Linked DNA regions of Struthio camelus. The protein of the gene in region 1 purifies or fractionates together with the protein of each later gene. This does not show direct contact. Links are inferred from orthologs where the notes say so. Each region holds a gene or a part of one and is shown on either strand. Other genes may lie near its edges.

What was found. Proteins that work in one complex are often made in the same cells at the same time.
Region 2: the proteins of POLR3H (region 1) and CRCP purify together in Homo sapiens (affinity purification with mass spectrometry; 4 studies listed by BioGRID and IntAct, with this or other methods). This does not show direct contact. The link is inferred for Struthio camelus from reciprocal best matches to the Homo sapiens genes POLR3H and CRCP.

The regions. Positions count from the first base shown.
Region 1 is NC_090942.1:56,716,528-56,723,448, reverse strand, and holds the start of POLR3H (DNA-directed RNA polymerase III subunit RPC8), read right to left. Parts: upstream 3,010-6,921; 5' UTR 2,766-3,009; coding exon 2,604-2,765; intron 2,228-2,603; coding exon 2,102-2,227; intron 846-2,101; coding exon 749-845; intron 1-748.
Region 2 is NC_090957.1:15,565,483-15,573,122, reverse strand, and holds the start of CRCP (DNA-directed RNA polymerase III subunit RPC9), read right to left. Parts: upstream 3,019-7,640; 5' UTR 2,950-3,018; coding exon of another isoform or gene 2,942-2,949; intron 1,078-2,941; exon of another isoform or gene 938-1,077; intron 32-937; exon of another isoform or gene 1-31. UniProt on the Homo sapiens protein: DNA-dependent RNA polymerase catalyzes the transcription of DNA into RNA using the four ribonucleoside triphosphates as substrates.

The DNA.
Region 1 (6,921 bases):
TCCTTTCAAATAGGAAATATCTCATTTGTTCGAGCTACGCTTCTACATTGAAAATTGAAGTTAGAAACATGCATCACTTCCTAGCTCATTTAAAGGAACTTATTCTAACAAACGAACAAAAAAAATCTCTTACGCATTTAGTTCTAGTTTTGATTCAGACAGATCTGACAAAAATTCAAAAGTAAAGAAGGTAATCATCTGCTATTTTCTGAACAAACAAAAACCCCAAACCCCCACAATCATAAATGTATGCTGAACTAGATCTGCCTAAGTCTCAAAAAAAAAAAAAAAAGGTAGCAAAACTCCCATTTAGAAAAACAGCATCAAATATTGTGTGAAAGCTATATTTAGAAACAAGTTTCATCTTTCTAGCTAGAGCAAATAAGCAAAGAAAAAACACTGGACAAACACAAGAGAACTAATACAAACTATTTTCTATTTGCAGATTTCCAATCACTTCAAATTCAGTTAGTCCCCTTCCAATTAGTAGCATAGCTGCTGGATAAGGAAAAGAGAGATGGACGGTTGGTGAAGGCAGACAGGACGGCCTATTTAAAGCTACGTTTGTCACAAAAAAAGCAAAGGAAAGACTCCTGCCATGTTCCTCTTGGCTTCCTAGAAGGACAGAGTTAAGGTTGTGAACTTCAATAAGTTCCTTTAAATTTAATTTACATAACAATTAAACTTAGTTTACACTTCTGGGTCATTAACATTCTGCAAAGCCATATAACTGAGGGAAAGAATAAACCTTTGGTATGTGATGCACCATCTCCAGGGAATATGTATGAATCTTCCAGTTTTGTAATATCGTACAGACAGATGCAGAGACCGACATTGTATACAACCTGCTCAAAGAAAAAACAATTTAAAAAAAACCCAATAAATCAAGCAATCCACCTCCAGGTTAACTATTTTCAAATTTATATTCTGTACACACTTTTTCAAAGGAAGGCAATGGAAGAGTGGCAAGATGGGAGGGGGATGTTTTGGTACTCTCTTTCAACAGCCCCATCCACACTTCTAACTGTTTAGAGGAACCTAAAACCTCGCTCTTATTCAAGCATTATGGGAGGATGTGTTTTTTTACGGGCACTAGAAAGAGCACTGCTACAAACAGAAACCCTTGGGGTGATCATCAGTGACCAGAAAACTTGACTGGCCACGATGGCAAACACTTGCCCATAGGAAAGGACAGACATCACTCACCAACCCCATAGCTTATCTAAAGGCCAAATATATTTCTTGCTAAAGTTGCACTCTCAGGAGCCTCTAAGACTTGCCTTTGTCTTAAATTATAAGAGCTACGGGCACAGATGAAGAAAACTCTTGCCTCCTTTGCCACTTCTGCGATAGCTTCACAGCTTAGTAAGTTTGAAGCATCTATCAGTCATCAGTGGATGACAGATCTGTTTTCCATAACCTGTCTGTAAATATAGTCTGCTGTCCACAAGCCTAGATCACTTCTGGTTGCTCTTTTGAGCTCTCTTCACATTCACTATCGGCATTTTGAGTTTTGCACCTGTCTCACGCTGAAAGCTGTAGGTTAATCACAGCCCCAGGGGTTCCACAGAGAAGCTGCAACCTCCTGGCCTATGACAAAATGCTTTTCTCTATCCTACACCAAAGGTCAGCTTCTTGCTGCCATACTATATTTCAAGTACTTAGCACAGAGCAGGACTGATATTATCACCTTCAGTTCTCTTACAATATTATTGTTCCACATTTATCTCCGTTGTCTTTTTTTAAAATCCCCATAGGCTAGGTTAGTTTGCATTCGTTTTTCAGACTCCATTTCAGGTTGCAGCTCTGCCCACAAAACAACAGTTACTCTCATTTCTCTTCAGTGGTTCTCTGCCCCATCTGGCATTTTGGTATCTGCCCTTTACAGCATTAGCTATTAGAGAAAAATATCTTCCTTCAAGACGATACCTAGCTGTCTCTTCCTTTACAGTCTCTGACAGTCCAGTCTCTGGGATGGCCCTCACGTGTAAAGTAAACTGATACTCCGCACACATGTCTCATCAGGAACAAATACAGAAACGCCCAGTTACAGGGGGATGCTACGAAGCCTGTATCACCCTTTAGATGACCCACACTTTACCTTGTTGGCCAATTTTTTGTTTAGCTCCTCAGCAATGGATTCGTTCAGTTTCCTTTCAAACTGCCAGGGAGGAATTCTCACGGTGTCGGTCATCTCTACCAGGACAAACATGATGGCTGGGAGTACCTCGGGGCAAAGAGAGCGAATACAGCCGCTTGCTCAGGGGCAGAAGCACCTAAGGAGCCCACGAGGCACCCGGGCAGCTGACGCCGCCTGCGCCTGGGAAACCACCGCCCTCCCGCCGGCCGCAGCACCCAGCGACAAGCCGCCCAACGGCCTGCGCGGCCGTTGGGCAGCGGCCGTTGGGCAGCGGCTCGCGCGGGGGTTCCCCTCCCTCCGGCCGCTCCCGCCCGGCCCGGCGACCCTCTCCCTCCCTCAGAGCCAGCGCAGCTTCCCGGCCCGCTGCGGGGAGGGGGGCGGGGTGGTAGGGGGGGGAGGCGGCGGCGCCCCCCGGGGCGGGGCGGGGCGGGGGGGGAGCTCAGCGCCGCGCCCGCACACCCACCTGACCCACGCCAGCCCGGCCACGCTGCCCCGTAACCTCGCGCGGCTTCCGGCGCCTCAGCCAATCGCCTCCCGCGGGCCGGCTCGGAGGGAGGAGGGGGGCGGGGCGTGGGGAGGAGGGCACCGCCCCGCTCCGCCGCCGCCGCCGCCGCCGGGGGGCCATTTTGTCCCGCCTCAGTGCGGGGCGGGGCCGTGCCGTTGGCGGCCGTTAGCGGCGCGTGGCTCCGGCGAGTGCCCAGCTCGGGGTGGACGGGAGGCCCGGGAATGCTGCTAGGGAGCGCTGTGCCTTTTGTACTTCCGTTTATAAAGAGCTGGCCTCCTGCCGCAGCCTGTGCGGCGCTGCCTCGGCCGCGAGCGGCTGTGAGGAGCCAGGATGGCGCTCGGTGTGCGTGTGGCACCGTGGCGGCGTCTCTGGCCCAGCCCTCCTGGGAAGGAGGGAGCTTGTCACTGGGGACGTGGGGTTTTCTTGAATTACCACCCTCACGCGACTCCTGAAACAGGTTACCCAGCTGCTCTTGGCTGGGCAGTCCCAGGCACCTGTTCTGGCTGCGTCCTGGGTGCCAGGCTTTCAGTAAAGGCGATAGTTTTGGTCAATGAAGCGTGAAGATATGCCTCTGTGTGTGATTTATTTTGTATTTGATTTACTTAGGCTGCTTTAAATGTTATATGTGCCCCAGTGCTTTGCAGTAATGTGTTTCTGTGCTATAGCAGTTAGGAGGATCAGCGCGGTGGTTTTCAAGAGCATACTGCTAGGAGTTTGGTACCTCAAGCGTTGTTTCACAGTTTTAATACCCGTAATGCAAGCCCCACAGAGCTGGAGGCTTTTCCTGCTGTGGCAGGAGGAGCAGTTCTTCCCTTTCTTCTTCCGGCTGAGGCTGGGGACATAAGCGATCTGAAACTTGGAAAGGCTTCAGCAACTACGCGTCCTACGCAGGACCTCTTTGTGAATACCTGTCCTTTTCCCGAGCCCGGTGTTCCACATCGCTCCTTGGAGATCATTTAAGTGTATTAGTTATTGTCTCTTCTAAAAGAATCCACAATTACAGTTACCAATATTACCATTTCATTTATCATTTTCATAAGCTTCAATACCAATGTGGCAGCAGGGATCAAAGTTTGCATCTCTCTTAGAGCTGATACTTCAAGCTTTTACAAACCTATTTTACAAACCTATGCAGCAAAACCGAGTGGATTTATATCCAACTTGTATTTGGAAGGTATTTTCACAATAGCAACTGCCTGAAGCTTAGGTCAAGATTGTTTTCAGATATAAATTGGCATCACATAGAGCTGGAATAATTTATTCCACCTGGGAATCTGAGTGTTAATTAAAAAAAAAGTTCCCATTGTACAGTGCATTTTGCAGCAAGCGAAGCAGCATGAGGGACTATTGAAAACAAGGAGATGTGCTAATGTCTGAAATTGCTGTGAAAAAAAGAAAGGAGATTGTTTGAAGTGTGTTTAAAAAAAGAGTCTCAAGGAAAACCAAACATCTCAGTGGCTGACAGTCAAAACTGCACTGTCAGCACAATGGCTTTGATGCAAACACTATGTCATCCCCTTCACCCCCCAGTAGCATATACTAGGACAGTAATGAGTGTTTTAGATAAGAAATCATTAAATGTTGAGCAGTCTTGGAGCGGCAAAGGGAAAATGAGGTTGCAAATGTCATGGCTAGGCCTTATTAACAAGATACCTGTCTTGTCCAAGGAGTTTCTGATCTCTCTTCACAGTTACTCCTGTTTCAGCAGGATCTGTGGGGTTTTTTAATAAACATGGCTGGTCTGCAAGCGTTTGGCTTGTTTGTATTTCATGGGTTGGGGTGGGGGGCCAGGAACAAATTTTCCACTGTCATCTGAGAAGCAGCAGCATTTGTCTTGGAGCATCCTCTATTTTCTCAGTTCTGAGCTCTTAAATGCAGCAGGCACCGCTCTATCAGGACACCTCAACCCAAATCTGCAGCGTTTCTTGCTCTTCTCGTCCTAGTTCCAGAAAGCCTTACAAAGGCTCCTTTCTCTTGCTCTACAGTTGCTGCTGCTCTAATCTCAGCGCAGCTCAGCTTTGCAGGCACACGTGCTACATCCCTCGCTGTCCTGTCCTGACCCCACGCAAGTTTGTCAGCGCAAGGTTTGACCTTGGAGTTTGAGTGTAGTGGAGTGCACTTTTTGTGGATGTCTGTAGGTACTTTTTCAGAAGAGAGAAAAGTTTCTGACCGTGTCCCTCTTCTGATGGCAGGGGAAGAAATTGGCTTGGTGTCACAAAAGGAGGTAGATGTTGATACTGTGCTGGTATTAGAAAGCTGATCACCCTGGATACTTTGGTATATAAGAACTAAAGAGTTAAACAGGGGCAGAGGTAGACAGGAATAAGAAGCTGAAAACCTAGGAGAATATGGGAGGTTGACAGGAGAAGGAAATTTGGACAGAGTCCTATCACACTCCCATTTCTAGCCCACCTTTGAGCTGATCTTTTTCATGCTGCCAATAACCATGCCTCATCAGGGTCTGTTGAGAGCCCAATATAAAACCGGCACATCTCACTTCAGCTTAGTCCAGAGCCCAGAAAAAACAGTTGTGAGGTCTGCTGGACCTAGTTTCCTACTGACTTGTGTCTAATGCTTAGGTCTTTGGTGTCTCATAAAGTGTAGACACCAAGCAAGGTTTTCTAGGGTTGGGACATGCAGAATTTCTGTCTCCTTTGTCATCTCTCTGATGGCTAATAAAGGCTAAACTCTGCAATATGTGTTTCTCAATAAGGACACTAACAGGATCCCTCTTCTCTATGCAGCTACATATATGCAGCTACATGCTTTGTTGAAACTTGCCGGGGTTACTATCTTTGATAGTACCTTGGGGGAAGCTGAATTGAAATGCGTGAGGAGAAAGCTGGCAGATGGCACGATCGTATGAGCTTCGTTGCCTTAAGACACTAGACTACAAGCAACATCAGAGCTTGGCCTAATTGGCAATTTCTCAGCCTCTGCCGGTAATGCCATAGGCTGTAGAGAACGATTTCCACTCTCATCCTCTGCAGATATCCCTTCCGTTCCCATGGTGAGGTCTGCCTGGGCCTTAGGACACATGATGGATGTTGCACTGTTACTATCAAGGTTTTCTCCCTGCAGGAATTCTCTCTTTCCAGCGGCCCTGGTCACAAGCTCCATCTCTAATATAAAAACACAAACCAAAGCCAAACTTTGCCTTGGGAAACATTGGTGTTGTCTCAACTCAGCTATTGATAGCAGCTCAGAAGTACGTTATATTTAATACTGTGGCTAAGGTATCTCTATGTTGGAGACTGTGTAAACTTGTCTTGCTGAGCGGTCCCTCTTTGTCCCAGTAGTATTGATTCGATGAGTACCCGCAAATCCACATAAGGGTCTGTACAGATGATTGTGTACGTAACTATGCAGAGACTCTAGAGTCTCTCAGTAGCATCGTGGCTTTCCCAGTATTTGGGAATGCGGTTCTTTGCTGTTGTTTTTCTGAAGCTTCAGTGGCTGGAACCCAGTGATTGCACAAGGATCTTTCTGCCACTTGAAAAAAAATCCCAGACATTTCTCCTTCTCACAGTTGTAGAGGAAAACTTGAAAACACAAACTGCAGTTACCCAAAGGCTCAGAAACCAGGAGGAAAATGAAAGGAACTCCAAAACTGTTTTGTTTAAAATCTCTGCCTCCACATTCCCATGGGTTTTGGGGAAAAATGACTCAGGAACATGGAAGGAGGTGAATGGTAATTTGCATCTAGACTGCTTTGGCCCCAGTTTGATTGACTCCAAAAGAATTATGCATCTTCTCATGTACAAAGACTTCCACTCTCCTGCTTTTGCTTCCATCTCTGCAGGCACCTCCAGCACCCTCACTCCCACTCTCTCTTTGATCAAAGCTTCCCCTTCTCTCCTTTTATCATTTTTACATGCTTTAGACTCTCTGCCTTTTCCACTGCAGTGCATGCCTAGAACAACCTTCTAGTCAAATGTACTCCGAGTCCCCTATTCTTTTTCCTTCTAAAGCCTTTAGTGACTACTTGGCAGAGTCAGATTCTGATATTAATCTCCTGTTCAGGTCACATTGCTTAACACATGCAGCTGGGCTGCAAACTTTTTACAGCTAACGCTGCTGTATGACAAATAAGGTGGGAAATACAAGCATTTGGAATATTCAATGTAGAAATATTAAAAGTATTATAGAAATTATTCCATTTACTTGCAATGCAGCCCCTTGCTGGCACACACAAGTGGCGTGCCTCGTGCATTGACGTCTCTCCAGGGTGCCTTGGCCACCCTTGCATGACAGAGCAGCTCGTAGGGTCCTGCCA
Region 2 (7,640 bases), on another chromosome or scaffold:
TCAAGGACATTCTCTGTTGGAAACAATACTGCTGCGGAAGAATTAAATATATAGAATCATTCAATTAAACAAGTGAGATGATCATACAGAGTCAACAATTTACCGTGCAAGAATCAGAGTCTCTGGGAAACTGATTTTAAAACTCTGGAAGACAATTGCTTCCTTTATAATCGTGTAACATTTTGTCTCTTAGAAAAATGCCTATTTTTCTGTAACATTGGATTACAAACATGAGCCCACTTAAATCTCAAATCTTCAAGAATTTTTGTTGTGCTGAAATATCAGAATTATAAACTAACAAGTCTAGTGTTTCAAAGACTTTTGTAGCATTTACAAAGCAGAAATATAATTGCTTTCTTCTGTCCTAACTCTCATAAATGCTAAAAAAAACTTTAAAAAAATCAAATTAAGAAAAAATTATAAAGAATGAATTCTAGTAGTGTATATTTTTAAAATAGACAGCTAAACAGTATGCTTGGCTTTTATGAGATTAAGGTTTAAACAAAAAAAAAGATAGGAAAACGCGATGTTAACACTAAATCTGTAAACACTACACAGCTATTACTGCTCCAAATTTTTGTTCAAAACATTACTGAGACTGTCTTCTCCACGCAATATCAAAAAGTAGCTCAGTGCACGGTATCACATCTTCGAAAATACCACCGGCACCTCCTGTTTTAAATCTACTGCTGAAAAATGTTTTACATTTAAACTAAAGCATTTTGCGGAGGTTTTTTTCCCCCCCCCTCTAGTAACAGATACTTCTGAAACGGTAAGGCCTTAGGTAAGGCAGGTTTTCCTAGCTGCAGACTGTCCCTTTATGAAGGGGCTGCCAGGCAAGAGGTACGCGGTAGGGAAGCACAAGATGCGATTGCAACGGCAATTCAAAGTCCAAAACGGACTAGATTGCTCAATTTTGACGCAAGGGTCCACTCACCGGTCAGGACTTTGGGGCCCAGGTGCACCTTCCTCCTGGTACTAAAAGAAGTAGCACCATTAAAATAACTTGGGGTTTTTACTACTCGGGGTAGTAAAAATCAAGCAGGTGCATAAGCGGCACCGCAGACTTAAGAATTAATGGTGCCAAAAGAATCTTCTTCAGCAGGGTAAATCCTATCTTTCCCCACGCATCTTCGAGCCTGGCTGTGCACCCGTTTCACAGCATTTTGGGGGACACAACGGCAAGAACGGGGCATTTCCCTGCAGATTGTTACTCACGTTAAGGCCAATGGGGATACAAACTAATATTTTGATGACTGCTTATTATCTACTTTTGAAGTGTAGCACATTTAATGATAACAAAGCATCCACGGATAGCATGAATTGCAATAGCGCAGGTAACGTTAGCGGTGCTGACATCGGGGCCAGGCCGGCTGCTCTTCCTGCCAGCCACGGCGGGCTGGCCAAAAGCTAGACCTGCCGCGGGCATTTGCGCCCGCCCGCTGTGTTTGCTGCTTCTCCCCGCCAGCACGTTCTGCTCTTCCCATCAAGGGTTTATTTGCCCTTCACAGAAACTGTTCTCAGCCTGCAGGCGATTCTGCAGGCCATTCGCCTTGCCTTGTTTTGCCAGGCTTGCCTGGCGGGTGATTAAAAAAAGAAAGGAAAGGGAGAAGGCTGCATGCAGGCACGTCCCACCAGGCAGGAGGGGAAGGGAAGGAAGGGGGGATGCGGACCCAGAGCAGGATTAAAACTAAGCTGCAATGTCTTTTTCCCAAATAAACGGACGTTTCAGCAATATTTGCAAAGCAAACGGAAAACCTCAGCTTCTCGTCAGAACGCCCAAACGAACGCGAGGCATCGGAGGCAAAGGCCCAACTGAGGGGTACGACGGCCCCTAGCACGGCCCCTGGCCAGGACCAGACGCCACAGTGGCCATGGCGCTCCCCGAACGGGGCGCGCTCCGGGAATTCTTACTGGGTGCAGCGGGTATATTGCCCGGCCCACACCCCCTGCGCCAGGGCCCACGCACGTCTGCCCCCCCAGCCCCCCGCGCCAGGGCCCACGCACGTCTGCCCCGGCCCACACCCCCTGCGCCAGGGCCCACGCACGTCTGCCCCCCCCCAGCCCCCCGCGCCAGGGCCCACGCACGTCTGCCCCCCCAGCCCCCCTGCGCCAGGGCCCACGCACGTCTGCCCCCCCAGCCCCCCGCGCCAGGGCCCACGCACGTCTGCCCCGGCCCACGCCCCCCGCGCCAGGGCCCACGCACGTCTGCCCCCCCCAGCCCCCCTGCGCCAGGGCCCACGCACGTCTGCCCCCCCAGCCCCCTGCGCCAGGGCCCACGCACGTCTGCCCCGGCCCACGCCCCCCGCGCCAGGGCCCACGCACGTCTGCCCCCCCCAGCCCCCCGCGCCAGGGCCCACGCACGTCTGCCCCCCAGCCCCCCGCGCCAGGGCCCACGCACGTCTGCCCCCCCAGCCCCCCGCGCCAGGGCCCACGCACGTCTGCCCCCCCCAGCCCCCTGCGCCAGGGCCCACGCACGTCTGCCCCCCCAGCCCCCTGCGCCAGGGCCCACGCACGTCTGCCCCCCCCAGCCCCCTGCGCCAGGGCCCACGCACGTCTGCCCCCCCAGCCCCCCTGCGCCAGGGCCCACGCACGTCTGCCCCCCCCCAGCCCCCTGCGCCAGGGCCCACGCACGTCTGCCCCCCCAGCCCCCCGCGCCAGGGCCCACGCACGTCTGCCCCCCCAGCCCCATATACATATCCCCCCTATACACACACTACAGGAGGGCCCATACGCATACAACCCTCCCCCCCACACACACTTCAGGCAGCCCCACATATACCACCCCCCCCAAACACGCACACCGCGGGCAGCCCCATACACATACACCCCCCACCCCCCCCCCAGCACAGCCGCGGGTCCCAGCGGCCGTAACCCGCCGCGGGCGGGGAGGATCCCGGCCCCGGCCCGCTCCCGCCCCTCGCGCCCGCCGCCTCCTTACACCTCCATCTTGTCCCCGCGCGCAGCTGCGCGCTGAGGCCGCCCGCGGCCGCCGCCCGCCCGGGCACCTTCCGCTTCCCCCCGCGCGCGCCGCCGCCCGCTGAGCCACGGCGAGGGGAGCGCTGGGGAGGTCGGGGCTGAGCTGAAAGCGGTTTCGGGACTCAGGAAGGAGGAAAAATGGACAAAGAGGGAGAGAGGGAAGGGGGGGAGGAAAAAAAAAAACAAGAAACCAAAAAAGCGCAGTTGCATTGGCCGGGAATCGAACCCGGGCCTCCCGCGTGGCAGGCGAGAATTCTACCACTGAACCACCAATGCCCCCGGTAGAAGCTGTTTTTCCGGCCGCGCCCCTCTACCCGTGCGAGAGCGTTTTTGCACTGATCCTATCTCACTTTCGCAAAATCTTCACGGAGCAGTAAAAGACCTCTCGGGCTTTCACGAAAGTTTAAAACAGATGTGCCTGCTAGTCCCTCTGGATCATATAGAAAATTAGCATATAATACAGAATTACAGGCAACAGATCCTTTATGTTTTTAAAGGAAAGACAAATTGCACTTTTCCAGAACGGTAACTACCGTGGACAGAAAGCTCACTACAAAAATGATACGTGGGGCAAAATATGTTCTGAAAATCTATTTGGATTCTGAAAATTAGGCACTTTAGACATGATAACAATGAAAAAAAATTGTATTTTAGAGGTCCTTCCAAACCAAATTTCTAGCTGCGTGCAAACAGAACACTGTAAGCTGTATAATACTCCCTTTCCTCCAGTCGTCTTTGAAAACACCTGTGCATACATCTTCAGGCTCATTATATGTCTTTTTCCACCATCAGCCTGAGTCTTTCTCTTTTCTTACATATGCTACTACATTTTGCAAGAGCTCTTTTCACTCTTGAGAAAACTGAACACATTTCATTGAGTGCAAATAACTGAAAATCCCAATGGCTGCAGCAGGGATAATTACGTCTGCATCAGAGATTGAGAGCCAGGAATACATTAAATCACTTATTTTGCTATTGGCCCCTCAGGTAGAAGTTTATATACAAACACGACAGCAGTAACTCCCTACAGAATCACACATGCATGCTTGTTAAGAGAAATCTAGGGAGCCAAACCGGTTGGATATTTTGTGCCCACAAGCTCCCTCGCTTGTCCTGTGATACTAGCAGAAAATTCATTCACCCAGTTTTCCCTCCAGAATCAAGCCAGAAGAAGGTCCACCCTCAGTCTGGGACGTTGCTTCTCTCTGCGGTGTTAGAAATCCTCACCTAGCTCTGAAGGATGGGACCAAACTGCAGCGGTTCAAGGGCAGTCTTCAGTGCAAGGACAGCGGGAGACGCACTCGGGTACTTGGGTGTACCACCGCGATCAGGTGTCTAAGAGGTGGGCAAAGTTTAAAACCCTGCTGCAAAGGTTTTTCAGCCCTTTTCAGTTGCAGACCCCTGAAAAAGTGTCAGTGGATATGTGGGCCATGTTCACGTACACAGATTGTAGCACAGACGGAAATTAATTCCTGTTCCAGAATCACCTTTCATCAATCCTTAGGAAAAAGACCAAGGAGAAAGGTCTTCACACTGCAGACTGAAAGCCATTGGTCTGAATTAGTGGATAGGATGTGATGGATGCTGTCCTTTTTCATGTCAGGATTAACTGACCTTGTACTTGGGCCAAAACTGGCACAGCAAATGCTCTGTAACTTCTCTGCCATGCTTCAAACCTTGTCTGTGAAACTGCTTGTACACTTGCTCCCAGCTAGGTCAAAGCGAAGAAAAGAAAAGAAAGAATGTCAGCTTTCTTTCAAGAATATACTTCCAGACTCTTTTTCAGGGTTTTGTTCTAGAAATCCACTAATCCTTGTCTTCCCCTCATCATTCTCTTTAGACACGAGTTGAAAATCTTAAGCATATTAATTTTATTCTCCTTGGCACCTCCTCCTTATCTCTCTCCCCTAAACGCAATTTATCATCTACGTTTTCAGTGTTTCTCCAAAAGTCTCATTCCAGACCTTTGCTGATACACTTTTTTAGAAGCCCTGACGACCATGTCCCATCCCAGCTGCTGGGAAGAATAAGCATAATACACATGCCTCTCAGAATGGCTTTTGAATTTTTTTTCCAATAGAGACATATCCTTCCTAAATATTTTCCAGTGGAGACATACACCCTGTTGGCAATTTCACAAAAATAGACTGGCCAGAGATCCACTGACATCATGCAAGGGAGAAGAGGAATCTCTAAGAGAGAGCTCATTATCCATACCTACAACTTTTCCGGAGAGGTGGGATGATTAGCCGAGTTAACTTTGTTTTTAATGGTTGCAGTTTAGATGTTAGACAGTTATGCTACACCATCCATAGGGAATGCAGACATAGGTTTTCTAAATGTGCTTAGCATGTCAACATTTTAAGCATTGGCTTGTGATTGTAACCGCTAAGGCTTGGTGAGAGAGGGGCCTCGGTATTAACTATTGAAAGCAGGGGGCCTAGTAATTGCTATTGAAAGCAGATCTGCATGGTATTTGTATTCTTTGTCATGAAAGATGTTTACTGTATTCAGCATTTTGCTGATCACCCTATAGTGTCTTTTTTTCTTTTACATTCAAAATTCATTAAACAAAGTTGATTTTTAACAAAAAATGTCAGCACTGCTTCACAGCAGCCTAGCTGACAGTGCATTTGACTAGCACGTTCAGTCTATAGAGCTTTTTTCTTTTTCTAAACCAAAATGACAGTTAAAAAAGAATGTTTTTTAAAGATAGTGTAGAGCAGCAGTTTATGTCCTCTTCTTTCTTTACTGGACTCAGTTTTTACAATTAGTCCTACTATGAATAGTGTATTTCTAGAAATCCCTAAGGCTCTCCTTCAGAGCTAAACTCCACACGTATTAGTCTCTTTCAACAAAAAGGCACTCTAAAAGAAATAGTAAAGATGTGACCTTGATTACAAAAGCAAATACAAATAAAGTTTGAATCTCTGAGGACATTAAAATATATTTAATTAAACCTCTCCATGCTGCAAAAGGGGCAATTTACTCATTATCTCATAGTACATCAGCCTGGAAAAGAGTATAGATGGGAATATTAATGTATGACCAGCGAGGGCTGGCTGCTCCGCAAGGGAAGGTGAGGCAGGAGTAGAGTGCACTAATAAGGCCGGAGCGAGCAGTGACCTCACCACCAAGGAGATGAGATGCAGAACATCACCACCAGGTCAGGATCAGGGCCAGAGACAGCGGTGAGGGTCAGACACAGTCCACGGCTCACCTAGCAAGACTGTCGTGACAAGGCAGGTGCACGGCCAGCCCAGGAAGCCCAGCCAGGGGGTCCGGGTCCAGGTGAGACTCACGGAGGTAGGAGAGCAGGCGCAGACTTAGCTGCTGTGCGGCTGCCGTGTAGCACAGGCGGAGGCCAGCGGTAAAACCTCAGCTTCAGAGCAGTTCCCAAGGGCAAGGAGGGGCAGGCCCTCGCTTAGAGCTTTCTTCACGACAGCTCTTATCAGTAAAGGAGCTGACTTCCACTCAGCCAGCTAAACTCCAACTTAGCCAACTAAAGTCCTAGAAGGAGGATACACTGCAGGCCGTGATACTGTGTCCAGAATGGAAAATAAGTAGAACATACGGTACTTTTTCATCAGAACTTCCTTGGTATTTAACTATGCGTTGGGTTTTTGGGGGCAATTTTTCTATTTCACTAAGCAAATAAAAGCCTGAAAGAATAAGACAGGAAGTGGAAGTGGAAAGACAACAAAAACAGAACAAACAGAGAAGATAGTAATGATGAGAATACATTTCAGTGTGCATTAGAAGACCTATTTTGCAGTGCTGTTTCACTGTTTTCCCAAAAAACAGTTCAGCTCCCTGATGCCAAGCCTCTTTAAGAGATCCTATTTCATCTATAAATGGGAGAAGAGAGAATTAATACATCTCCTAGATACAAACTAGGACAGGAGTTAAAACAACATACTACAAGCAAACTAATCCCTATAAAATGTGTTAAGTACACAGTGAAACTGCTGACAGATGCCATGTGAAAGCATACATCCATTACTATGTATAATATCAGGCATAGATTAATAAAAATAAGATCATCTGGTAACAGCCACAAAAGGCTTCTTTCTTGCAAAACCAGATTTGGAGTCAAGGCATAGATTATGAAAAAGAACACGGCAGAAATCGAACTCAGTTGTCTCCCCTGAAAAATACTCAAGTGCACACGGCTGCAGATTCGTGTCCCAACCCCACCTCACAGCTTCCAGTGGAACAATTGATTTCAATGGCAGCAAGGCCAAACTCTAGGATACATAATCACGAATATTTCATATCAAGTCACTGTGTTACCAATCTCTGCCTGGAGCACCTGGGATCCCTCCCTTTCCCCCTTTTTTAGTTTGGGTAAGTCCTGTTCAATATCTTCAGACAGAAACACACGCAATCCTTACACAGGTTGTGTCCGAACCTTGAGCCTATATCACAAGCATCATGAAGCAAAGATGCTCTCTGTATATGGTCCATTCTGGTTATAAATTCAGTGCTTACTATTTTTGCAACACATCAGCAACCTTCTGTTAAAGCCCAGAATAAGGACAAAGACACTCCTAAATGACTAATGAGACAAGAAAAGTGGTAAAAATGAGGGGATTCAGAATGTGATGACAAAATGATCAAGCCCTGTTTCCTAGTGTAGATGTCCTAGTGAAAATAGGAGA